2 linked regions of the Schizosaccharomyces pombe genome follow. The protein of the gene in region 1 purifies or fractionates together with the protein of each later gene. This does not show direct contact. Each region holds a gene or a part of one and is shown in the gene's direction. Other genes may lie near its edges.

What was found.
Region 2: the proteins of rpn502 (region 1) and rpt2 purify together in Schizosaccharomyces pombe (affinity purification with western blotting, with the first as the bait; one study listed by BioGRID). This does not show direct contact.

What each region holds. Positions count from the first base shown.
Region 1 is NC_003424.3:4,904,064-4,914,364, reverse strand, and holds rpn502 (19S proteasome regulatory subunit Rpn502), read left to right. Parts: upstream 1-3,489; coding exon 3,490-3,573; intron 3,574-3,620; coding exon 3,621-4,868; 3' UTR 4,869-4,998; downstream 4,999-10,301. Other genes in the region: plasma membrane malate/succinate:proton symporter Mae1, read right to left, coding at 752-2,068; rsm22-cox11 tandem protein cox1102, read right to left, coding at 5,126-7,387; yip11 (SMN complex subunit Yip11/Gem2), read left to right, coding at 7,971-8,137, 8,243-8,591, 8,666-8,857; bud20 (zinc finger ribosome biogenesis protein), read left to right, coding at 10,189-10,265. UniProt on the Schizosaccharomyces pombe protein: Acts as a regulatory subunit of the 26S proteasome which is involved in the ATP-dependent degradation of ubiquitinated proteins. Required for proper proteasome assembly.
Region 2 is NC_003423.3:1,190,765-1,208,786, reverse strand, and holds rpt2 (19S proteasome base subcomplex ATPase subunit Rpt2), read left to right. Parts: upstream 1-9,358; 5' UTR 9,359-9,407; coding exon 9,408-9,410; exon of another isoform or gene 9,411-9,411; intron 9,412-9,545; coding exon 9,546-10,889; 3' UTR 10,890-11,009; downstream 11,010-18,022. Other genes in the region: SPOM_SPBC725.03 (pyridoxamine 5'-phosphate oxidase), read right to left, coding at 974-1,747; histidine-containing response regulator phosphotransferase Mpr1, read right to left, coding at 4,143-5,030; aspartate aminotransferase Maa1, read right to left, coding at 6,813-8,126; SPOM_SPBC4.06 (acid phosphatase), read right to left, coding at 11,385-12,773; ubiquitin protein ligase E3 component mlo2, read right to left, coding at 13,444-14,433; MCM complex subunit Mcm2, read left to right, coding at 14,679-14,911, 15,131-17,390; COPII-coated vesicle-associated protein Sfb3, read left to right, coding at 17,975-18,022. UniProt on the Schizosaccharomyces pombe protein: The 26S proteasome is involved in the ATP-dependent degradation of ubiquitinated proteins. The regulatory (or ATPase) complex confers ATP dependency and substrate specificity to the 26S complex.

The sequences.
Region 1 (10,301 bases):
CTTCTCTTTTATTGTGCTATTGCTTTTACTTCAAGATTGTTTTATTTCGTTTGTGCAATCTAGTATCAGGTCACGTTCAACGCTATCTTGATTAATTGGACTATTTTCTATACATGATTTAATATTTTAGAATTACCTTTTACCAGTTTTTATTTTAGTCATAGTGGTTTCACTCTAGTATTCTTTTGTCATGAAATCCCTCTTAATTTTATTGTTACGTATAGTGAGTGTGTAAGATGCTCATCAATACGCCAAAGATATGTTTGAGACATGTCGCATGCCGACTAGGCTTTTTTTTGTTGTCTTATACTCATTTTCTCTATAACCAGGAATTTATACACAAGTTTTCAAATAACCATAACTAAAGTGTGCTGCTGATAAGAGTAGAAAGAGATATAAGCTTGGATGACCAAGATATAAATTTTAGACGATTAAATCCGATAAAATGAAATAAATAAACTTAATTTTATTATGTACAGGATTGATTTTTTAATTGATTCCTTCGTCGTGATTCATATGCAAGACGCATACATATTTAACACTACGACAACCAAAAATTACCATTATTCAAAGTCCAAAATTTTGGTATGTATAATTTAAACAAAAAGAAGAAGAAGGAGCAAAAATGTCTAAGCAAAATTAGTACCAGTAGTACAATAAAGATACAGAATGATTCAAAATGATTAATCTATAATGGTATTAAGAGCAGGGCACACAGATTTATAGAAAAATTAAGGAAAAGCATACAAGCTTAAACGCTTTCATGTTCACTACTAGGAGGATCCGATTCACCACCAGTAGATGTGACATGTGTATCGACTTTTTCCAAAGATGCAGGTGCTTTTTCAGGTGGGAAGGTAGGGTTAAGGACACCTGTATTTGGTTTTGGTGGAGGATGGGCATCTTCGTCTTTGCCAGGATAGCAAAGATCATTGACGAGAAACGCACGGACCATTAAATACATTAGGAGGATCCACTGAATACAAAGAATGACCCCAATGATATGTCCAAACATTTGGAAAGCTTTGGAATCTATCATTTTACCTATCTCAATGGTACAATTAACAAAACCCACGTTGGGGAAAATGAATGCAAACCATCCACAAGCAAACTTGAGAGGGGCTCGAGTGAAAAAGCCCGCTAAAAAGCTAACCATGGCGAGACAGTAACACCAAGCAGCAAGACCCCAAATAAAAATAGCCATAAAGGTAGAAACAAAACCAAGATACTCGGATGAGTTGGCGCCAACAAAAATATAAGGGCGACTGCCCATAGCACCACGCGCAATATTAATTAAGGCCAAACCTGAGAAAGCTGGTGGACCGACAAACATAAACATACCAGGTCGATCTTGGGGTTTTGCCAGGCCTACAGTAAAAAACCGTAAGACATTGACGGCAAACAGTAAAAGATAAACCCAAAAACCAAGTCCTTGAAAGAGGATACCAAAGATAACCATATTTTTTAATTGATGAGCGGGTTGTGTAGAATTGACGGCGCCAGCAATGACACCACAAATCATAGGAGGGAAAATAGGAAGAATCCAAGCAGGAGATGCGGTTTCAATGGTATATACATGGTTGTTGAAAATTGTAAAAAAAGCCATTACGCAGTATATAAAGGATACTGCAACGTAAATGTAATAAAGGATTCGAATGACCCACACCATCCACTCGCCGGTATCAGGATAGGCGTATATGGCAAGCATGTCGATGAACGTGGATATTGAAAGAAGACAAGTAGCAATGAAAAGCTTTTCCAAATGATGGTTCCAGGAATCCTTGATAGTTGAAGGATATTTAATAAAGCGAAAAAGCATGCATGATCCAAAGAGAGAAAACAAAAAGATTTGAAGAATATAAACAATTTTGCCAATTGTATTAAGACCATAAAATCGAAAGGGGAAAGAACCAATAATCAAACCAACACCACCAGTTGCCATAGTACATGCAAACCAAGACCATGTAAAATGCTTCAGTCGTTGACTGAGAGGGACATGAGGGGCTTTGACATTCCAGTCAAGCAACTCATGATACCTCTGTTTCAAGATTTCCTTGAGTTCACCCATGTCGAATCGAGAGATAAAGGGGAATTAAAAAAAAAAATAGTGGCCAAGAGAGAAAATGAAGAATGAATATAATATAATATAATATAAGGAGAAAAAGGAACAAAAAGGAAAAGACGGAGGAAGGAAAGAGACAACCAATTGCTAGCAATTTATCTGTGAGTCTAATCGCACATGTTAGTTATCGTGATGAAAATAAAAAATGATAGAGAGTGTAAAAAATGAATGACTGGCTGTTGCTAGTCTTAGTAAATGAGGCAAACTGCCGATACAGAAGTAGGATGAGAAATCAAACAAAAAGTCTAGTGCAGCAACAAATAAGCTTATTTTGTGTAGCAAACAAGTAAAAGAAAACAAAAATAGAACAAACAAATAGTGATCAACTTAGAAATCAACAAGAAAAGATGCATACAAATCCAAATTTCCAAGATTTTCGAGGGGCAACTTTCTACCAACAGATTGCAACGTTGATCCTCATCGCAAACAAACTGGCACTACACAACAAAAAGCCAAACTATACAGTCATCCTACAAAACAAAAACTTACCGATGGACCTGGCCAACCCAACAACTTCAGCAATGAATGACTGACTGGATAAGTCAAATTCGAGCCACTATATTTATATCTCTTGGAAGCTTAACGAATTTAACCAACCTGCTGTCAAATGCACAAACCTTCGCTAACCTTGTGAGAGTGGAGATAGCAAAATTTTTTCTTTTATGCCGAGGAGATGCTAATTATGCTGCTATGAAGTCGGTCAAGAGTAAATCTGGTCCTTATATGACGCAAGCTAGATCTAGATTAATGCTATAGGCATACGAAACTTTGGTATTAAAAAAAAAAAAAAAAAAAAAAAAAAAAAAAAAAACTAACTCAGTATAACAATATTGACAATAATAATATACCGAACCTGTGGTGTTTTTCCAGACTTGGCATCATAATAATTGGCCTAATTTTTCTGCAGGTCAAAGGTGCTTTTGGGAAGGGAAGTTCCATTTTCTCTCAATAGGCCACGAACTCGGTCTTTCAATTCCCTGCATTTTTGTATCCGCTATCGCTAATGTGGGTCCAGTAACAAGGGAGTGTGATTTTAGAGTCAGTTAGATGGAAAAGCTATCATTTACTGCCTAAAAGCAGTTCGAAATCTCGGATCTACGAACTAAGAAGCCGAACGGCTCATTCGCGTTATCAACGGGTATCTATGTATATAGACGGATCGTTACCCGTGATTATCAATAAACGGATCTTAGCTAGTATTCCAACATATGACATATAGTGATACGCAACGTAGTGTATCATAGCGTAGAGTAGTATTGCTGACAACTAAAGTATTTTGCGAGCGTGCGGTACAACTCTGTAATCATAAGAAATCAACTCGCAATATTAGTCTCAATTGTACACTCTCCAACAACCCACATATCGAAATGGAACAGAAACCGGAAGTTGATTACTCAGAGAAGTTTGCAGAGTTACAAAAAAGTTTAAATAACCTTAATACCATAGACATCGTACGTAAAAATCAAAATTTTGACTAATCTCTAACTTGTAATTGTAGGATGCGAACCTCGAGAAGCTTTTGATTTTTGAGAAGCAAGTTCGTCAGGCTTCTGACACCAGCACGAATACGAAAGTATTAATATACATTGCTGATTTGCTCTTTCGAGCTGGTGATTTCCAAGGCTTAAACGAACAGTTGGTTAGTCTCTTTAAAAAGCATGGCCAACTGAAACAATCGATGACAAGTTTAGTCCAACATGTAATGACCTATCTTCCTGGAATTGACGATTTAAAAACAAAAATTAATTTGATTGAAACATTGCGTACTATTACTGATGGAAAGATATATGTGGAAGTAGAAAGGGCACGTCTTACACAACTGCTTTCCCAGATTAAAGAAGAGCAAGGTGACATCAAATCTGCCCAGGAGATCTTGTGTAATGAACCAGTAGAGACTTACGGATCTTTTGATTTGAAGGAAAAAGTTGCATTCATTTTGGATCAAGTTAGATTATTCTTACTGAGGTCTGATTACTACATGGCATCTACTTACACGAAGAAAATAAATGTTAAGTTTTTTGAAAAGGAAGACGTCCAGTCTTTAAAACTTAAGTATTATGAGCAAAAAATCCGAATTGGTTTGCACGACGATGCATATCTTGATGTTTGTAAATATTATCGAGCAGTTTATGACACCGCCGTGGTTCAAGAGGACCCCGAGAAATGGAAAGAAATATTAGAAAATGTCGTTTGCTTTGCCTTGCTTACTCCTTATGATAACGAGCAGGCAGATCTTCTTCACCGAATTAATGCTGACCATAAACTAAATTCTCTTCCTTTACTCCAACAATTGGTTAAGTGCTTTATTGTCAATGAACTAATGAGATGGCCCAAAATTGCCGAAATCTATGGAAGTGCTTTAAGGAGTAATCCTGTTTTTGCTGAAAATGACGAAAAAGGTGAGAAACGTTGGTCTGAACTTCGTAAGCGAGTCATCGAACACAATATTCGTGTAGTCGCAAACTATTATTCCCGCATTCATTGCAGTCGTCTAGGAGTGTTGTTGGATATGAGTCCTTCCGAAACAGAACAATTTCTTTGCGACCTTATTGCAAAGCATCATTTCTATGCCAAGATTGATCGCCCAGCTCAAGTCATTTCATTCAAGAAATCTCAAAATGTGCAAGAGCAATTGAATGAGTGGGGTTCCAATATTACTGAACTTCTTGGAAAATTGGAAAAGGTAAGACAGCTTATTATAAAAGAAGAAATGATGAATTCTATTCAACAGGCGGTAGCCAAATAAATTGTTCCGTCTCTATTTCATTTCGTTACTTTCATGACTTTGTCATTTAAATAATATACTATTGGTTCAAAGGCCTTCAACTTTTTTTACGAGAATACAATAGTTTTAATGTCGAATTGCAACCTCGGAGAAAGTTATTCTAGTAAGTTTGTAGTGATTTTCGTTGTTATTTGTCTCGTAACTAGAAGGTTAACTTGATGAATTATTTTAAATAAATTATTGTAGTTCACTCAATATGTAGTCCCTTAATTTTTATTTCAGTTGAGTTTAGTTAAAAGATTGCCATTGGTATCATATCTGGCCTCAAAAAAAGTATAGCTTAGAAGAATATCGTCAATATCCTTCATATTTGGATCATCAGCAAATTCTGGATCTATAAAGAAAAACACAGGCAAGTCTACTTTTTCATGAGCATCTAGCTTTTGCTCTTCAAAGCAAAAGCATGCAACCTTTGAGAAGTAAACAGCGGCTTGACCTGGTACTATATTATAAGTTGCAACTCCTACTATGTCATGGTCGGACGTATTTTCAGCAGTATAAAACCCTAGAGCAGTCTCGCCTGGAAGAACATATATTTCACGCTGCTGGGGCCAAAGCTTCCAGCTAAGGTTTCCTGCAACGTCGCCATTGAAAGTAACTCTGATTCTTTTATTGTCTTTACGAGGAACCATTCTTTCTGCATTCATACGACTTTGGTCGGTATTAAGAGTGCCACCATAACCTGTTTTCGAACAGAAAAGACGATATAAAGGTACAGCCGCATATGTCAAGCCCAACGCAAAAATGGAAATTGCAACCAGATAATAGATAGTGGTCCTTTGATTATAGTGGAATTTATCTCTCGAATATTGTCGTGAAATATTCCTGGTACCAGAGATGCAATTGTAACAGCTAAATGAAGTAAAAATACAAGGGAAACGATGTGAATTAAAGTCTGCAAATCGAGAAAAAGCTTTATGACGATTAGTCGAATAGAATCGTTTTCCGACAAAAATAGGATCTGCAGTTGTATTTCTTTCAACTTTGGGTTTATTATATGAGGGGGGATTGATTGAATAGGTAGAAGAAGCATCTTTTAAATGTTTAGTAATTTTACTACTTGGAGAAGTACTTTGAACTTTGCCCTCTAACGGAAACAAGTCGCCCCAAGCACTTTTCCTAGCTAATCGATAAGCTAGTTTACCTTGTGATTTAGGAACAATATTCCTTCTAAGCCGAGCATCGCTATCACAGACATCAATTATGACATGTCCATCTCGCTTCAGTGGAGGTCGAATTATACGTGGCCAGTTTTTAAGAGTTGGAGATGTAACATTCACATTTTCTAGTAAATCCTCATCATTCTTGAACCTTTGTGTGGTATTATTAAGCGGTCTAGTTATACCCTTTTGAATAACAACATAACTGTAATGAGAGCGATCCGAGGATCGACGATGAGAACGAGGGACATATAGACGGGAAAATGGGGATAGGAAAAAATGTTGTTTGAAAGAACAAATATTTGCTCTTACCCCATTTTCTATATCAATGGGGCAGCGACCATCGTGGGGACAGGGTGCTACAATATGGGCATTGAATTGTTTATCAGAAGTATTTTTACTTTTTTGCAATAGAAATGTTCTAGCTCTTTGAATCAAACTAAAGCCACGCTTTGTGCCTCGCTCGCAGAGCACCAAAAGACCACCATCATTTGACACGAGACTCCAAAGCGAACGAAGATAATCAAAGAGTTCTTTCTCCGATTTCATTTCAAGAAGCTTGTTAGATGCAATAACTAGAGTGTATGAATCCTTTTTACCCAATGGTAGACGGTTAAGCGTAACAGGGCTAGTTGGATTCGGCGAAGTTGACGGGTAAATGTTATGGTGAATATCATATATGATTTTTTTCAAAAATGGGTTCTCCTCAACAATTGAAACTGAATTAGGTGTGGGAAAGACTGAATAACTAGCTAGAGCACCAATACCTGGACCTTTACCGCAATCCAGTATATGTTGAGACTTGCAAGACACATCACTGTTTACAATTTTCAAGTCAGTCAATACGCTGTATAGAGAAGCATATTGATACGGCATAGACTGATGAATATAAGCTAAAACTTGGGGATCTGTCATAGTCCGAGTAGATTCATCTTTGAATGGCGCAGACAATGGAAGCTGAGATTCCGTAGCCAAATCTTTTTTAATATCATTAATAAATTTTTTAATTTGTCCTTTTTCGCTCTTTTTCAATAAATCGTCCACATATAGATTAAATTTTGTATGCAAACTAATATCACCACTTTTCTTTTGATCCTTTACCAAAAAGTCGAGTAAACTGGAAGCTTCTGGACGATGTGAAGAGATCAATTCGTTTTTATAATCAGAAAAGTTGTTTTGAACAGCTTGAAAATTTGCATTATACCACCTAATGGTAGTGGTTGTTCCATATGGTATGAGACATCGCTGATTTTGAAAAGTAAAGCAATTCCGTAAATTATAAAGAAACAGAATTTTATATCTGCATGTTAGAATGGGCATATGTGCTGCTCAAAACACCAATTCACCAATGAACAATGGGATTTGGGGATAAAGCACTGATCTGTATATTGTGTAGAGTAAGTGCCTGATTAAGTGGCCGCAGATGGTGTTACTTGCGTTGACAGAAGAATGAATAGTACAATTTCCTACATATCTATATGTTTTATGTTTATTAAATTAGTTCAAGGATAGGCAATTCTGTCTGAGTGAATATTCTCCCAGTTTTAGCTTCTTATACACTTCAAAAAAATGCAAAACTTTGAACTTCTTTGAAAATAAGAACAAGTAATAAATTTTATGATAGTAAAGGAATTATCAAGAAATAGCTAAAATTAGTTTTAGCATTACACTTGATCAAGATAGACTCTTCACATTGATAGTTCTACAGATACCTCTTTAACCTTACCATTCTATTATACTAGGGTAATCTTCGATTTACGAAACATTCCTTGTTAACTAACTACAAACGAAAAGTTGCCGGAAAAAAACAGCCTACATTCCTTGAGTATTTTCATGAAAATTCGGTAATTCTTTTCCATTTGGTTTATATGAGAAGTTTGCAATTGTACAATAATAATTCAAAATGCCCTCGAAAAGAAAAAGAAATCCTTTACAATATCAGACTTCAGGATCATTAGATGAGGAAACAAATCAACGCAGCGCTTTTCCACAAATCGACAACAATAGTGCTTCAGAATCTTTGGAATATGATATACCACTTGATGGTTTAGATTATTTAGCAACTGTGAGGTACGAACATTTATATATGAATTTTTGTGAAAATCGAAATTTGCAACATGAATGCTTTAATCTAATCATTGTAACAATAATTGGGCTTTTTACTGACAAGTTCAGAGAAGAAGCTCGCAAGCTAGTTCCATTTGTAGCGGCGCGTCGTGAGCCTGAAACAAGAGAAACCATTCCTCTTCGCAAATTGGAAATCGAGGCCGGCAAAAAAAGCTTTGACCCGTTTTTACGATACTTACTAAACATAATTGATAAAGAAGGGGAAAGGCTTGAGCAATATATGGAATCTTCTTCATTGGACGCATCTATTTTACCTAAAAATTTACAACAATGGCGTGTATATATTGAGCATAAAGCTCCTTGTTGGGCCATATTAGCAGTGGTTGATTTGGCAACTGTTTTGGAGATCCTAGAAAGCTTGTCCAGCTGGCTTGAAAAGGACGCAATTGATTTACAGGTTGGTAACAAGGATCTCATGCTACTTTGCTGGTGTATTTTTGTTCATTCTAAAATTTGCTAACATTTTTCTAGAGTCAATGGATTTTTTGCTTTTGTTATAAACTTCCTGAGCTTTTGAATGGAGAAGATATATCGACCCTACGTTCAGTACTCAAGTCTTTACGAAGTACGCATACTTCTTTTCCTGCTCTGCAGATGTCAGCATCTGCCCTTCAAGCAGTCTTAGTTTATCGATATGGACAAAAAGATCTCTTTCAAACATAGAGTCTATAAATCTTGGTCGAAAAAAATTTAGGTACACATGTTCATATAGCATACGTTTGTTTATAGGGAAAAAATTAAAATTGATAGCTTGTTTTAAATATGTTTTTAGGATATTATTACTTTTTTGAATGAAAACATATGCTACACGGATATGCTGGGCTTTGCATCTTTGAACATGTGATTAAGCAAGCTTGGAGATAGCTGCAATAAACAATTTGCCTATTACAAATCGATAGATATATTTTAAAAAAACACGTTTGAATTGAGATAGGCAAAGTTATTTGTTTATTGATTCACATTTTCATTTTACAAAAAATGGCTTACTATTTGTTTAGTACGTGCATTCGTTTTGCTGTCTGCATACTTGTCGAATCGAGGGTTTCAATTATGTTATTACATGATAACTAGCAACTTTCTTTAATTCGCGCCCCATCTTACGAAATTAACTAATAAATTTTTACTGTCTTTTTCGACCGAGTGATTTTTTACCCATATGAGGTTTTTCAAATTCAAAACTAATTGAACATTGCAATTATTCTTTGGGAAAAAACAAAAGTCAAATAAAGATAAAATAAAAAAGAAATAATTACAACCTCACTGCCAAGAACCCCTTCGTGGTTAATTGAATCTTTTGAGTTCGAGCAATCAAGCTCCTTTTGTAAAACTAAATGTCACTAAAATTGCTCACACTTCAGTATAGCAGTCTAAATGGAGAGCTCAATTTTTTCCTTGCTGATAAGCGGACTCTGATCTCGCTACGTGAATACTTTCTTTCCTTCGACTAAACGTCAACTTGTCGAGACTTTGATGAAATAGTGGCAGTTAAAGCCAGAAAGCTACTGAATGTTAATTCATTTCTTCTATAGTTGCCATGTACTAAGAATCACGCCTAAAGCAATTTTCCCTAATAAATTCCGATGCTAAACATCCCTTAAATTACAAAGTTTTGTCAAACGATGGAGCAATCGTCGCTTAAAAAGCGCAATTTCAAAGGCATGCATTTCAACTTGCTTTGACCATGCTCTCCCAAATTTTGAACGAATATTTATTTATTAAAAAATTTACGCTACTTGAGCTATTCAGAACAATCAATAATACATATCTAATACATTTCTCTTGCTTTTCAACTATATAACGAGGCTTTCCTTCTCGTTATTAAACTTATCGCAAACTACGATAGGAAAATAAGATTATTTGAGAATTATTTTTCACTATACGATATAGCACACATTACGCCGTTTGGATATTGAATGTGTTTACGCTTAAAAAAGTTTATCCTTTGCAACTAACATTGTAATTGTGGTAAACGGGTTTGTTTGAAGTGACGGACAATGGGAAGAGTTGCCAGAAAAAGAAAGCATCATAGCAATGGAAATCATGCTTTGTTTAGAACTCGTGTTTATGGGAGGTATGCAAATTTCATGGTCATTCAATCATCGTTTGG
Region 2 (18,022 bases), on another chromosome or scaffold:
ACTGAAGTGTATGTCACTCTGTAAACCAAGTGTTCTATACTTTAGAGAGAAAAAGAAGTTCTGATCTAGATGAGCTTAAATAACAGCAATGCTTAAAAAATGATGGATGAGCAATCCTGTATTTGAAATTGCTAATCCCTTATGTAACCGAGTACTAATAATCCAATGTATAAGCCAATTTGGTAAAATTCCTTAAAGTATTTAATGTATAGTAAGGAATACGTTAACAGGTTTTAAATTTGTATCGTTAATAAGTTAAGATCCACACATGTATTCAATAATGCCACTTAACTCAACGGGGACCTTTACGGTTCTATGAATACTGATTCGATAAAATTAAATGACTTGGCAATTCACCGTCCCTTCAAATAAGACATTGTGTTTCTTATGTGGTGCTTTATTCCCTTTTTTTTGCTACATTTCTACCTGCGTAAGACAATATAAGATAATAAAACAAGCCATATAGTAATAACCTTAATATAATATTATACAGGTAAGATCTTTTAATAAATGATCATCATTAGCAGGTAGGTTGGCCTATTTGCTTAATCTCGCAACAATTTTTTACAATGTCTTCCTGTAAGTACTTTAATACACACAATTTTCATAATTTTTTATTTATTATAAACGTAAATAGTTCATCAAGTGGCCGGATTGGAAATTTGACATAGGATAAGTGATAATTTAGTTGTTTAACAACGTAAATAAACATTAGAAAATTCGGAATACACTGAGTTTGTAGTTTGTACTCAGTATTATGCTTCAGTACTAAAAAAAAATTCAACTACAAAACCCACCGAATTGTAAGCTAGGCAAATTTGAGGGAATCAGACCTTTTTCATATACTCCACAAAAAAAAAGAACCAAAATGTTAGGAGTAATCATTATAAGTTAATATTCGTAGTTCATAAGTATTGCACGTTTATCAAGAGCAATCAATTCATAAAGGATGTGCGAAAAAAAAGGAAAACATTTAGACATTGACACGAGTGGAGGACCATTGTTTCGTGTTTAGATCTCTATTGTGCAAAACGCGCTTTCCTGGAGGAGGGGTAAGATTCAAAAACTCGACTTCGTTAGCCTCACAAACAACAAGAGAAAATCTACCCCAAGCAGTCTTCCAAGCTTCAATAACCCCGGGATCTTCTTTTCCAGTGAGGGTAGAAGGTAAAGGTGACACCTTCACATCGCCTTGGTATTTGGAGTATGAAGGAGGAGTAGAAAAGGAAGCGCGAAGTTCAGGACTATGTAACTCCCAAATACGTCTTCTTTCCTCTTCCCAAGACCATTCTTCGGGAATGCGGCCATTGCTGTTTATTAAATGATCCTGGATCAACTTGTCTGCGGGAAATTCATTTCGGTCGGCAAGTTCTGGTGTGTATAACCAAATTTGACCGGAAATACGAATTTGCTGCATTGTCTTTGGTAACCATCCACACATTTCAAATGCGTTCGGTATGGGTCCAGAGGGGAATGTATTTTTTTGCTGCTCAGCAATCTCAGCAGCTTTGTGAGAAGCAATATCCGTAGAGAATACCAATAAATCTGTAGCTAGCACATCATCGGGACGTGGTTTATGCCATCCTGTACCGACAAATCCTCGAATAGCTACAGTACGATTTCTGGGGTAAATTTCATTACCAGTGGGTAAAGTTGCCAGCTGGAAGTATTCGGGATGAATAACTCCACTGGAGTCGACATTTTCTTTTAAAAGCTTCAATAACTCATTTTTCCAAGCGAGGGACATGTTGGCAAACGATGAAATGGGATGCACGTATGAATCCTATATAAGTCACTTGTTTGACTGAAACGTCATTGACTTTGCTAAGTGTGTCGTACTAAAGGTCGCTCGCTATACAGAAATGATCTCTAGATATCTGTATAAGGCACAACTCTAAAGTTCGGCTAAACTTACTAACGAAATCGTGTGTGATTTCTGAAAAAGCAAATTGTACGTTATCGTGGATTACACTAATTTTTTAAAATATTCCTCTCTTCATCTGCTCAAGAGAATTGGTAAATAGTAAGAGTAAAATCATTTAATATTAGTGCACAGAGAAAGGAAAATAAGAAAATAAAGACAATAACTAGTAACTTAAAACAAAAAAATAAAACTTTTAACTAACAAAAATGGTTTCCCCTTCTAGATCTTCAAAGAACATTGCAATCCATATTCCGTTGTTCAGTACCTTAATCTGATTATTCACAGAACAATGAGCTGCCATCTAGTTTGCAAATTGATATAGAAAAGAGTATGCATTGTCTGTGTACAGGTTTCCAACATTGAAAAAGTGAGAAATGACAGCTTGCATATCCTAACAGATTTCTCTCACACCATTAGTGAGGATGCCTAGTCAATCAAAACCTGTACTTGATTTCAGCAAACTTCGTCCTCTTATCTTTAATTAACATAAGATTAGTCATCTAAAATTTCAACTTTGATACCGAAAAAAGCGGCCAACACCTTCTCGCATACCGGGGTTGAACATCGGAATGCCGAAATGCGATATCAATGAATACATTGTAACATCAGAGGATAAAAACAATGATAAAAATAATTTACAAATTAAATTGTCTCTGTCAGGCGTATCACTTGGATTATGACCATTTGCTTCACATTGCCTAGCAAACTAAGAAGGCAAGCGAGGTTTATGCCTAGTTTTTGCACATCTGTAGCTTCCGCATATTCAATTCATCCCGCATCATTCTAGAAAAACAAGGCGACGAAAAGCTGCACAACGGGTATGAAAATCCTAATAACGCTTCGCCTCCAAAGGAACGTCTATGAATCCGCAGGATCCTACTTGCCGCGCTAATTAACGAGGTATACTTGATTTCGCTGTTTCACACAAATCAATATTTCAATGTTCTCTTGTCTTTGCGGAATCGAACAAACTATACTTCGATTAACAAAAAAAAGAAGTTCGTTAATTTCATTTCATCGCAAACGTGTTTTCTTAGTTTTTATTCTCAAAAACGAACAATCTACAACGAAGAATTGTTTTCGATCTTTAACCCACAACAACAAAAACATTTAGTAAGTGACGCTAAAAGTCAGTTCGATCACACTTGAAAGTACACATATTAAACGCTGAATGAATCAAATCATAAATAATTATTGTATGTAATGACCATTTTAAGGTGTTTTCATTAATCCTTTAAATAATCTCTCTAAAGCGAGATAATGACAAAAGCAATCATAATTACAAAAAGCAAGAACAATATACTTAAAATTTTTGCAAGGTTTGTCAATCAATATTTGAAGTCCACCATAATTCACAACTCAGTAATGTACAAGGACGTGAAGGTTATCACCAAAATCATAAAAAATCCATCAACATCTCAAGTTGAATAATAAAAAAGGTAAACAAAGGAGAATCAGGTACATGTAATGATTAACATTAGGTTAAAGAAAATTTGAAAACACAGTTTAAAAACTTAGGAAAAACATAAAAAAACAACAACAAAGCAAATCAAACTCGAAAAAAAAAAAAATCTGTCGCCAATCGTGGGGATAAATGAGTGTTGAAGAGTAATTTGAATTAACCAAATTCAGCATCTTAAACGACCGGTTGTAAACATATTATCTAAGGTTTAAAGTCCTTCAACATTAGGGGATTGGGCTTGTGATAAACAATCACAATAGACAATTTCGTAAATAAACTAGATAAATAAAGGTATAAATACATGCCACGACCGTAAGAACGTAACAAACAAGAATTTTTTTTTTCGAGAAAGCAGCTTATTAAATACATAAAGTTTGATATCGAGAGCTTCAAAAATGTTCCGTAAAAAAAAACCGCAGGAAAACCCTGCCTGTTGCATATCTCAATATCAAAAAGGTAGACGAGGTAAAGCAAAAAATAGACTGTTTTTGATAGTTTTGGATAGGGGATACTCAACTAAATTGAGGACTTGTATTACTTCACTCTATTTGCTTTGATAGAGGGAAGCACTTCAAAGTACGGGAAAAGTGTGGGCGTCATAATAAATATAACTATTCAAACCGTAAAAGCTGGAAATTCATCACTAACTTCAAGTTATCGTAAATTTGGGAAAACTAGAAGACTTTGATAGACAACTGGTATAAATGTCATAAAAAGGGGGAAAGAAAGGCTAGGTACTTTGACATGTTGAGACTTTTATGTAGAAGAATTTTTTTCATAAAAGTCAAGTAAGTAAGCTCGAGCATCCTTATAAAAGTCGTTCACAACCGACAGAGATTTGCTAATCAAATCCAATGCAATTTCCTCGCTCGGTAATTTCATTACACCATCACGACTGCGTAGAGATCCGTAATTTTGGATACGTTCACAAACCTTTCTCATTTTTGTAAGGCCCAATACAGCTGAAGATCCTTTAAGGAAATGCCCCAACGAGGAAAGCTTCTTCAAATCCTTAGCCTCTAGGGCCTTTTGGAGGTCGGCAATGGTAGTCTCTGCCTGCTCAAAATAATTCCAAACAATACTCTTACTAAATTCATGCTCATCATCATCATCCATCTCAAGCAACTGGTCAAAAACGGAATGATCAATGAGCTGTTTGTCTTGGATGAGTTCATCCTCAAATGACATATCGTAAGCAATTACTGAAAGTTCATCCGACAAGACACCAGCCCCAACCAAAGCTTTGACTGAAGCAGCGGGAAGATTTTTGGCATTCGCATGGTCATCGCTAATAGAATTGGAGATGTCAACGGTCTCCTCCGTGCCTTCAGGTGCGCCAGCCGTCTCATTAGCAGCCAATTGTTGATTGTTTTCACTTTTGCTCGAAGATATACGTGACGTTAGAGCAACATAAGCAGGATTTGAGGTCAGTGGTAAAGAAGTGTCATTCGCTCCAGAACCATTCATAACCCGATAAGCATGGGGGATCGCTGACCCTGAAGGAGAGCGTGCACGTTCAGCTATGCCAGAATCGTGAAGAGTCTTAGCAAGACTAGCGTTACGCGCCTGTCCATTTCTTCGGGCGACACGATTTTCGAAGTTTCGGTCGTATTTCATATACATGTTATCACGATATACACTCATTTTTTAGAAAATAATTAAAAGAAAATCCAAAAAAAAAAGAAAAGGGTTTAAAGTAAGAGCGAATGGAGAAGCTCAGCTAAATTTTATCAGCAGTATTACTTTGCAAACAGTAAAATGTAGCAATCGATACAGAATATTGTATCAGATTTAAGACTTTCCTTTTTTAACAACGATTTGAAATTAAAGCGAGGAAATGTGAGTTATTGAAAGAGGCGTCGACAACACAAACAAATTATAAAAATAATGTGTGGTATGCCAGCAAAATGAAATAATCAACAGTTTCACTAACCTGTAGTACAGTACAAGGGCTATTACCAAAAGAAGAAAATGGCTTTACCACACAACCCACAAATACTAAATAGGATTTGTGGATAAATCTCCTTCAACAACGATTCTAATGGAAAAGAGTCAATACGGTTTTGGAGCTTTTTTTGCGTGTTCGAAACTTTGATGCCAAGTTTTAGACGCCACACAAACTTGCCTTCAGCTTCTGCTAAGTTCTAAAATTATCAAGCTCTACTAAAAAGGCGATATTATTGTTTTCGTATCAATTCAAAAGACAGAAAACCAATCCTCACAAGATTGTTAAGTGCTCTCTCTATAATTAAGTTCAAATGCAACAAGGGTAAGGCAGAGAGTAGAGACTATGGTTTTGCCTGTGCTTATGTCTGATTTTTAGATATTCTAATGTAGTAAATGGGAGACGGAAAGTAGGTAAATGCCGCGAAAGAATTGTTTGCAAAACTCACACTTGGGAGTGACGCCATGCAACGTAATAAAGCAGTCAAATGTACCGATACACAACCACCCAAAACGATAAAGTATATTAATATAATGACGCTACGTCTCACTATACCCCGAATTTCAATGATTCCTCCATATCAGTCAGTGTAGAAAAAAAAGACGAACTGGAGATGGAAGAACAGTTTCCCACCATCTTTGGCATTTTCGGCCATTTCCTAATAAGCGCAGCAATTCCTGATGGCTGTAGCATTGCACATTGGGAGGGAAGAATGATACTCTTTTTGCAGATATTTATTTCGATATCACTACATAGGGCCTATCCTAGTCATTGGAAAGGTGCCAATTTCCAGCGATATTCTCCTATTTTTAGAAATAATTAAAAGCTTTGCACAAATTTCATTCCTACCTCACTTATTTCGTACATCTCAGAAGTTTGATGAACTTGGGAAATCCCAACATATGACAAATGCAATGGGAAAGATAATTGATAGTTTTCCAACGAAAAAGTGGGATTTAATATGTATATGAGAGAGGATAGTAAAATGTGCCAAATTTTGGGTTAACTAGAGGCAATCTAAAGTATGAAGTAAGTGAACTACTAGACAAACATCTACAGAAACAAAGTATGGAAATAAATGAAGATAGACAAACGAAAAGCATACTATTTCGAAAACGAATCAATATTTAGTCAATTTTTAGATCCAAAATCCATTCATTTAAAAACAGACCATGCCATCTATTTGGAAGCAAAACTGTAGTTATTCACCTCAAAGCGAAAGTATAAGGAAAAAAAAATAAGCCGAGACAATTAGGTTACTAAATACGTCTTCTCATGGTTTCGGAGAAATGAAAAGGGAAAAAAAATTAAATGTATACAAATATATGTATATGTATATGTGTGTTTGAGTCTGTCTATATGTATGTATAATAAAATAAAAACAGAAAGAAGAACAAAAAAGATTCAGAACAAAGAATCAATCAAAAATCCATCTGTCTATATAATAAACCAAAATCTTTTCACTTCAATTTCACCACCGACTAATTCGAAGTAACGGCATTGATAGCTTCGGCAAAGTATCTTACATTGGAAGTGTTGAGACCGGAGATGCTAATACGACCATTCTTAGTGAGGTAAATGTGATACTGTTTAGCCAAAACATCAACTTGCTGGGGATTTAAACCAGTATAACAAAACATACCAATTTGGTCAGTGATATGCTTCCAGCTGTGTTTATTCTTAAGGTCCTTTTCAAGGATGTTGCGAAGAGCCTTACGCATACTCTTAAGACGTTCGGACATGCCTACAACTTCACCAGCCCACTGTTCACGAAGTGCAGGGTTGCTCAATATATGGTTGGCAATTCTGGCCCCATTGACGGGAGGGTTGGAATACAAAGCACGAATGAGAATCTTAGTTTGGCTTTCGATACGAGCGGCTTCCTCAGCATCGTTGGCTAAAATGCTAAAGCAGCCAGCACGTTCACCATATAGACCCATGTTTTTAGCAAAGGATTGGCAGAGTAACATGGGGACATTGCTGGAGGCGAACAGACGAGTGGCATAAGCATCACGAGCAAAATCACCACTGGCAAATCCTTGGTAAGCCATGTCTAAAAGAGCAAAATGGTTTTTCTTTTGCATTGTTTTGAGGATATCATCCCACTGAGCTTTCGTAGGATCTACACCAGTTGGATTGTGAGCACAAGCATGCAATAATATAATAGAGCCATCAGGAGCTGAAGTTAAATCGGACAACATGCCTTTAATGTCCAACCCACGAGTAGCAGGATCATAATACTTGTAGGACTTAACGGTCAAGCCAGCTCGAGAAAATACATTCTTGTGATTTCCCCAAGTAGGGTCAGATACGTAAATAGTCTTTGATGGATAAAATGAAGCAAGGAAATTAGCTGCTATACACAAGGCACCGGTACCACTAATGGATTGAGCAGAAACCAGCCTATCCTTTATAGACTCGTAAACATCGCCATAAGCCAATTTTGTTGCTTGCACACGGAAACTGGGAATTCCTGTGATGGGTGCATATTCTTTGTCGAGTTTCTGACTCAACAGCTCAGTTTCTGCCTGACGAACACTGGGCAGAACATAAGGCTTTCCGGCATCATCACGATATGTACCAGCACCCAAGTTCATTTTCTTAACATCTCCATCCTTTTTATAGGCCTCTGTAATACCAAAGATGGGATCCGGTGGTCCCATAGGTACATCTGCCCAAACCTTGAATCCACGCTTGCTCTGACTTGCCAAGCATTTTACTCCATGGTAGGAAACGTTGGTTTTTAACGATGCAAATGTATTTGGATGCAAACAACGCAAATTCCTGGCCAACATCGTCGAAATCAATATTCTTCCCAAAGTTATTTCTGGGAGATTGGTTAAAGGCTCTTCACAGGCTCGCAATCAATCGAATCCTGCTAATATATATACGTTCTTATCATGAGAAAACCACGTGGTTCAATGTATCTGCTTACCGATCGATAACATAATCCGAAGCTGTAAGATGTCAAAATTAGATAACGACGTTTATTGTTTCTTTCGTTATCGTTCACTTGTAGAGCTGTTCCGAAAAAACATTAAAGTAGCATAGCGAAAGCTATAGTTTTGTAATCGCAACGTAGTTTAGCAACTAGTAAACAGTAACTCGTTAATTACCAATATTTATCGTAAGTAATTAAGGTAGTTAATAAATTAACATTAACAACAATAAAAATTGTAAAATAGCTGTTAGACTTGTAGAAAATATTTTTCAATAACAAGAAGTCATTCAATAATCATAACTTGAATAAGTCAATTTAGACCTTCGAACACTGTTTAAGTCATCAGACTGTCTTTAGTAGCTGCTTCTATAGCTTTCACTGTTGTTGCTGTAAAAGGTTGCAGAAGTAAGTTATAGAACAATAATTCTATTCATATGGAGGACTTTTATTAAGAAAAAAAACGAAATGAAGCCTACAGCACCCCGGATTCCCATGTTGTCTCCAACCATAGTACTAACGAGGCCCTCAGACGCTTAACTGCAGTGATCGGACGGGAACTGGTGTTTTCGCCTAGGTATGGCCGTAGACACCTAGTAAAATACTTTATAGCTTATATAATTTTATGCTATGTAATTTTGAGAGGAATGTGTGTTGTTTGAATTGGGATAAATATTCTTTAGCAATGATTCCTAAGTAAAAGATAGATGCAAGGTTAAATCACTTTAGCAAAGTCTATGTTCTAACAAGAAACACGACGAATGCACGAAAAGAGATCCGTACTCCTTTTAATAAAAATCGATGGCAATTGTTTAACCTTTTTTAAACCATTATTACTTCTACAACACTTTATATTGAGGAAAATTTACTTAAAGTGAGGTCTCTTGAAATGGAATGGTTGATTCACGCGTTGGTAACAGTAGATACATTTTCGTGTTCGAAATGTAAACAACTCAAGAAAATTAGGATGTGTTTTTACCATACACTATTCAAAAATTACAATATCGCAATACTATGTTACGCAATATGTTAGAGTGCCTTGAGCCACCGGTTGCTTGCATAGTGTCGTGGTGGAAAACGAGTGAAGCTAGATATTACCAATACCAGATCACTTTCACTGAGAGTATCGATCCAAAAAATGGTAAGTATTTGAGTATTTTGAGGCTGAAAACAAGACTGAATTAAATGTAATTTTTTCATCTATCGCTGAATAGTCTTGTTTTCACTCTATCACATTCTTTTCATGTTTTAATATTTAATCCTAACTCTCCTATAGGGACAAGCACAATCTGGGAATTTTTCTAATTTCGGCGATGGTGCCAACGGCGACAATAAAAAAGACCAAAAGAAAGATAAGCCCAAATACGAACCTCCAGTTCCCACTCGAACTGGTCGTCGTAAGAAGAAGGCTCAAAGTGGTCCTGATGCATCGGCAAAACTACCTACTGTTATCCCAACGACTCGTTGTCGTTTAAGGTTGTTAAAAATGCAAAGAATCCACGATCATTTGCTTATGGAAGAAGAGTATGTGCAAAACCAGGAACGTCTTAAGCCACAGGATGAACGAACTCAGGAAGAACGCAATCGTGTAGATGAAATTCGTGGTACTCCAATGTCTGTAGGAACTTTAGAGGAAATTATAGACGACGATCATGCCATCGTTTCCACAGCTGGACCAGAGTACTATGTTTCCATCATGTCATTTGTCGATAAAGACATGTTAGAGCCTGGTTGCAGTGTACTTCTCCATCACAAAGCCATGAGTATAGTAGGCTTACTTCTTGATGATACCGATCCAATGATTAATGTTATGAAACTCGACAAAGCACCTACAGAAAGTTATGCCGATATTGGTGGTCTTGAATCTCAAATTCAAGAGATCAAAGAGGCTGTAGAGCTTCCTCTTACCCATCCTGAACTCTATGAGGAAATGGGCATAAAACCCCCTAAAGGTGTCATTTTATATGGTGCTCCCGGTACTGGTAAAACTTTACTAGCGAAAGCTGTTGCTAATCAAACTTCTGCTACGTTCTTGCGTGTCGTTGGTTCTGAACTTATTCAAAAATATTTAGGTGATGGTCCCCGTCTTGTGAGACAATTATTTAATGCTGCCGAAGAACATTCGCCCTCTATTGTTTTTATTGATGAAATTGATGCTATAGGTACAAAGCGTTACGATGCCCAGTCGGGTGCTGAACGAGAAATTCAACGTACTATGCTTGAGTTACTCAATCAGTTGGATGGATTCGATACGAGTCAGCGTGATATTAAGGTTATTATGGCTACTAACCGTATCAGCGATCTTGATCCGGCTCTTATTCGTCCAGGTCGTATTGACCGCAAAATTCTTTTCGAGAATCCTGATGAAGCTACGAAACGTAAAATTTTTACCATTCACACTTCCAAGATGAATTTGGGCGAGGATGTTAATTTAGAAGAGTTAATTCAATGCAAAGATGATTTATCTGGTGCAGAAATTAAAGCAATCGTTTCTGAAGCTGGTTTGCTTGCTCTGCGTGAACGCCGAATGCGAGTTGTTATGGACGACTTTCGGCAAGCTCGTGAAAAGGTTTTAAAAACGAAGGACGAAGGTGGACCTGCTGGTGGTCTTTATATCTAAGTCCAACTTTGGTTATGACTAGTTTTACTCGCATAATGGCAATACTTCTTTTTATCCATACTTGCCATTGACTAAATAATTTCCAGTTCCTGTTTAGTTTCTACGAATATCTGTATTTCCATCTTCACTATTATTATTTAATCCTGTAGAGAAGTATTGTATGCATGATTATTAAGTTATCATTAAGTTTTATAGAGTAACTATAGATGTCCATAAAATTTATTATATCATCATACGTATTTTATTAACTTCGTGCATTCCTTGTCGGTTTAAATTTTGGATTTTTTAAAAAAAAGAGCGTAAAATAAGCAAAGCAAACAAAACGTGTCCATAGAAAATACCTCTCCGATACCTCTTTTTTTTTATTTTCTTCAATCGATCGCATTCACAATTTCAGTGACACAGTTTTCTGATTATATTAAGAAATTTAATTCTAACGTGTGCAACAAAACGCCTTTATAATACACAAAAGACGTAAACTAATCAATCAAATAATTACTTTTTCACCGGTTTACACATAGTGTGATATTCAACAGGCTTTAATGCACGGACTGTATCCTTAAATATAGAAAGAGGACAGATCGTATCATTGCCTTTGTATCCTTGACCTCGACATGCACCCATCACTACAGGGGTTGAATTGTAGGTAATTCGGACATACCAATCAGACATATCTCTAGCAGAATTAGACGCAGCAACGATAGCACTATTGCTGGCATCTGTAGACTCATCGGAAAACAACTTCAAATCTGTCGTCTTATTATCGCCGCTTTGATTTTGGGAATCGGATTTGCTTGATGTATCTTCGAATAGTTCCATTTCAAGATGTGATGTAAAGGGTGGCCAGCGATAGTCAAATGCGTCCAAAGATGCTAAAATGGCAGCTATTGTAACATCATGTGCGCCATAGAGGGCCAAACGATGATAGGGTGAACCATTCTTTTCAGCGACCACGAAGTTCTCCATTCTCATGCTTAAATCATTTAACAAGCTTCCAGCACCTAATTGACGCATCAACTTAGAAACCTTATAACCGCCAAACCATTCTTCTACAACAGCAGTTTCGGCATCGCGTAACCATTGTTCATCTCTTAGGTTGGGATTGAAGTCGACATGGCTACCAATGGCAGCGTTAATAGTATCAAGCAAACCACTGAGACGAGGATGGCTTGAAACAACTCTAACAGGCTGACCATTCATGAATTGACTCATCATTTCAGAGGCACGGCCTGCAAGTAAGGGATCGTAAAGCTTAGCAGCTCGTTCTGCAAATTCTTCATATAGTTGCACAAGTCGAGGACAGTTGTTTTCATTAGGAAGTAGGTTTTCGTCTGACCAATTTCTCGTAAAAATGACAGGTAAACCCATCTTACGCTTTGACTCAGGATACAATCCGGAAAAAACATGTTCTAAAGACTCCAAGGCTCGCACCATTGGAGTCGCACGCATATAAACATCAGCGTAGTTATTCAATTCATCAGGTAAGAATTTCAATTGTTTGACATAACGTTCTCGAAGATACTCACCAAGTGTTCTGGTAGTAACACGCCCAAAATCAGTCAATTCACCATGAATGCAAACACCACTTGGGGAATTGTCTGAAGTTGGTGCTGCAAGAGACGTGTCAACTGGTGACTCAACCTTCCTTTCAAAACCCAACACAGACCATTCCTTTTCCCCTTTAATTTGCGCAAAAAACCTCCTTGCATTATTACAAAGCTTCCAATCCTTAGGGATACCGGCGGAACCAAGTCTTTCCTTCACGGGAGCACGTTCACCATGTCGAAATATGACTTGTAAATATTTCAGTTGCAGCTGTTTTGGATAATCGACTCCGGGAACTGAATCCGGGAATTTAACAGAAGCTGAAGACATTTGAGACATGGCGGCTAGGAAGTGGTTGATGATGCTGGATAAGAGCTGCTGTCAACTAAGGTCTCAATGCTTGAACATCATCGCAAAGCTCATATAAAATATGAATTACTGAATATTAACGAAACGACACTATTTGAAAATTAGTTTTGTTTATGAAAAGAAAACAATAAAATATAAAGTTAATTCAATCTTAAAAAACTGTTAGGAAAAAATTAAAATGAAAGTCATTATGAGATATAACAAAAAAAAAATACCCAGACAGGGTTTCTCTTTAGCTTTCTCAATCAAAAATAAAAGATAAAAGACGCAACCACCAAAACTATAGATAGGTTTAAAAATTTTAATGAGTGCAGTTAAAATAGGAGAGACAAGAAAGCTAGAAGTTCAATATATTAATTATTGTTCAAATATACATACAAATTTGTCATCATCATTAAAATCATGTATACCAACAAGCCCCAGTAAGCCTCTCAAATTAACCATCTCTGTTAAGAAAATCAATTAAACCATTTTTGATAGAGAAATGATTACGTTTAACCATAAGCACATAGAAAATATCTCTGGTTTCACCAGTATAAACAGCGTTTCACAAAAAGCATCACCAGATTAAGTATAACCTACATGTTTTGACGTTAAATTATACGCCAAAAAAGAAGGGAATTCAAAAAAGTTATTAACGCTACCGTAAATTTTTACTGATTCGAGATCGCTCCAAGAAAAAATTTGATATATCTTCCTTGGTGACAACCCTATTTTCACGAGCAAATGGAGTGAGGAAGTCCGTTAGCTCAGATTTTAAGCGATTATACGCATAAACGCTTTCGTTAGCTTGTACACGAGGAAGTCTGTCCAAAATACGAAGGACATCATTCATTGTGCTAGATATGACTTGCTCAATCATTTCTCCAGATTCACTGGGATCCTCATTCATCTCACTGATTCCATCCTCAGAATCCTCAGGAGGTTCGTAAATAGGTTCTTCTGCCACCAACATTGGCATCTCCAAATTACGCAAACTGATGCAAGATTCACAAGGGCACAAATTTTCCCTAAAGTTTTCTGAAAGAAATAGAGGCGCTCGTTCTGTACCAGCTATGCTTTCATGCTTCTGGTTTAAAAGATGATCGCGGTATTTTTCTGAACATTCTGAACACACCAACCATTCAAAAGTCTCAGCATCTGGGATTGCAATTCCTTTATTAGTTTTCTGCAGACACTTTTCGTGAAACCAATCTTCGCAAAGGATGCATTGAAACATAGTTCCTTCCTCTGTCTCTGGATTATACACCGTATCACATATGCAAAATCGCCCTTCGAAATTATGATTATAATCATTTTCTGAGCCACATTCATCAACGGATTTCCGTAAATTACAAGGTATGGAGTGGGTTCTTGTGGTGCCACAATCACATCGAAAATGTCGTTTATTGAATAGGTCCACAAGATCATGGTCAGCATGGCAGCTAATACTGCAGCTATAGCAAACAGCATTTAAGCTTCCGCTAGCTTTTTGACATGTCAAACAAGCGTATAAAGGTTGCTTCAAATAGCCCATCGAATAAGTGCACGTGTCAAAGCTGTAAGGCAAAACTTCTCGTGCCTCCCTTTCAAGCTCCCTTTGCTGTTCAACATATTGCTTAACCGTTAATTCATGAGCCGTTTCCTCCATAAGTTATTAAATGCAACTAAACGTTGGCAAATAGACGGCGTAAACAATTGCGAAGAATGTCTTTTGAATAATTCAAAACACTAACTCATTACGCTCCTCTATTTCATTTACAGGTATCACTACATTTTCCAATACAATTTAACAATATACTGTAGCATTTCTTATTCTTTCATCCTGCAATACTCTAGCTATTCAATGCATTAAAATAGTTAGAAACAACATCTTTAAAGTATTTGAGTCCAAAGATGGATTCTTTTCGGAAAAGGGGTCGCCGCGATTCTGAAAGTTTACCTTTTGAATCAGAAAATTCTTCTCTCGGTGCTACACCTCTTTCTTTACCTCCTTCTTCACCTCCTCCAGAATTCTCTGATGAAGCTGCAGAAGCTCTCGTGGAGGAGGATATTGAGGATCTGGACGGAGAAGCTTTAGATGTAGAGGATGAAGAAGGTGAAGATTTGTTCGGAGAAGGAATGGAACGGTAAGTTTTATAGCTATGCTTGAGACGTGTCTTGTCAATGTTGTGTATACTAAGTGTTGCCATCAATATATAAATTACATACTATTTCTTCTCCTTCTTGTAAATAAATATATTTATTGGATTCCTAGGTTGCGGTTATATTGACAGAACAAATCTTGATTTTCAAAAGAGTAGTTTCACATTTCGCGTCAAATAAGGTACTTTTTTCTAACTGTATAGTGATTATCAACAAAATTTGGAGCTAGATCGTTATGACATTGAAGAACTAGATGACGATAACGATCTTGAAGAATTAGATATCGGGGCCCGAAGAGCTGTTGATGCCAGGTTGAGACGACGTGATATTGAGCTCGATGCTGCTGCAGGTAGAACAAAACCTGCTGCATTTTTACAAGATGAAGATGATGATTTGGACTCCAATCTTGGCACAGGCTTCACTCGTCATCGACATCGAATTTACGACGAATATTCACCTAATGTTGGCGCATTGGACGAATCTGGTGAACTTCCTCTTGAATCAATTGCCGACGTAAAGGCCGATAGTATTGCCGAATGGGTTACTCTTGATCCTGTTCGGCGTACAATTGCTCGAGAATTCAAAAATTTCCTTCTTGAATATACAGATGAAAATGGCACCTCTGTATACGGTAACCGTATTCGCACATTGGGTGAGGTTAATGCTGAGTCGTTGATGGTTAATTATGCCCATCTTGGTGAATCTAAACCCATTTTGGCTTATTTCTTGGCCAATGCGCCTGCACCTATTTTTCGCATATTTGATCGTGTTGCTTTGGAAGCCACTCTTTTGCATTATCCAGACTATGAAAGAATACACTCTGATATTCATGTTCGTATCACTAATCTTCCTACTTGTTTTACTTTACGCGATCTACGACAATCCCATCTTAATTGCCTTGTACGGGTATCTGGTGTCGTAACTAGGCGCACTGGGCTTTTTCCACAATTAAAATACATTCGGTTTACATGTACCAAATGTGGTGCTACTTTGGGTCCATTTTTTCAAGACTCTAGCGTTGAAGTAAAAATTTCTTTCTGTCACAACTGTTCCAGCCGTGGTCCGTTTGTAATCAACTCTGAACGGACTGTATATAATAACTATCAAAGGATCACTTTACAAGAATCACCTGGCACCGTCCCCTCAGGTAGACTGCCTCGACACCGTGAAGTTATTCTTTTAGCGGACTTGGTTGATGTTGCCAAACCAGGCGAAGAGATTGATGTTACTGGCATATACCGCAATAACTTCGATGCTAGTCTGAATACCAAAAACGGGTTTCCTGTCTTCGCTACAATTATAGAAGCAAATCACATATCGCAACTTGACGGCAGTGGTAATACTGATGATGATTTCTCTTTAAGTCGGCTTACTGATGATGAGGAAAGGGAAATTCGGGCATTAGCAAAGTCGCCTGATATTCACAACAGAATTATTGCATCGATGGCGCCTTCTATTTATGGACATCGCTCTATCAAAACTGCTATTGCTGCTGCTTTATTCGGTGGTGTCCCCAAAAATATTAACGGTAAGCATAAAATTAGAGGTGATATCAATGTTTTATTGTTGGGAGATCCAGGAACCGCCAAATCTCAATTTCTTAAGTATGTTGAAAAAACGGCACATAGGGCTGTCTTCGCCACAGGTCAGGGTGCCAGTGCTGTTGGTCTAACTGCATCCGTCCGTAAAGACCCCATTACGAATGAATGGACTTTGGAAGGGGGTGCTTTGGTTTTAGCAGATAAAGGTGTTTGTTTGATTGACGAGTTCGATAAAATGAATGATCAGGATCGTACTTCTATTCACGAAGCCATGGAACAACAAAGTATTTCTATTTCTAAGGCGGGTATTGTGACTACCTTGCAGGCGAGGTGCACTATTATTGCTGCCGCTAATCCCATCGGTGGACGTTATAACACTACAATTCCTTTTAATCAAAATGTTGAGCTGACCGAACCTATTTTATCTCGTTTTGACATCCTTCAGGTCGTCAAAGACACGGTTAATCCTGAAATTGATGAACAGCTAGCTAATTTTGTTGTATCAAGTCATATTCGATCTCATCCTGCATTTGATCCGAATATGGATGTCTTGAAGAAAGTCCCTACTGAGACTGGTATTGATGCCAAACCCATTCCCCAAGATCTTCTTCGTAAATATATCCATTTCGCTCGTGAAAAAGTTTTTCCTCGATTACAGCAAATGGATGAAGAAAAGATTTCGAGACTTTATAGCGATATGAGACGCGAGTCACTGGCTACTGGAAGTTATCCTATTACTGTGCGTCATCTGGAGTCTGCTATCCGTTTAAGTGAAGCATTTGCAAAAATGCAGCTCAGTGAGTTTGTGCGCCCTTCACATATAGACAAAGCCATTCAAGTGATTATTGATTCCTTTGTGAATGCCCAAAAAATGAGTGTTAAACGAAGTTTGTCAAGAACATTTGCTAAATATCTTATTTAATTTTTTGACACAATCAGTTTATGGAGTCCAGTGATTTTGATTTCCCCGTTCTTTGACCCTCCTTTTGTTACTGCATCTGTTGCATATATCTATCCTTTAATAATTTGCAATCAAAATTTGCTTTACATTTTTATACCTATCTTTACATTCATTCTTTCTTAGTTTTCAAAATGTCAATCTAAATTATTTAGGTTAATAACACTTGTTTTGAATATCATTATTGACTATTCGCTATAGATACTAGGTGTATAGATACTTTCTCCGCTGTATCAATATTATTAGCTGTTTCATTAAAGAGCCACTGCCCATGTGAAATGACATTTTTTGAAACAGCTGAGGTTTTTTACATATAGAGCTAAATTGTCCATTTCCAAATTTAAAGGGAAGTCAACTTTTGACAATCGGAAATGCATCCAGTTCATATCTGATGTTCCTGAAGAATCTCAAATTTCACACTTTATTATCTAAAATTATTTATATCGTGTTACTCTTTCAAATCAGTCTTTTTATTTGGTATATATTTTGCCCTACCCTTACCTACTTATATTCGTACATCCACCAAGTAAACTTGACACAAAAACAAAATGGCCTATCCCGGGCAGTTTGGAAATTACGGTAATCCTGAGACTTAT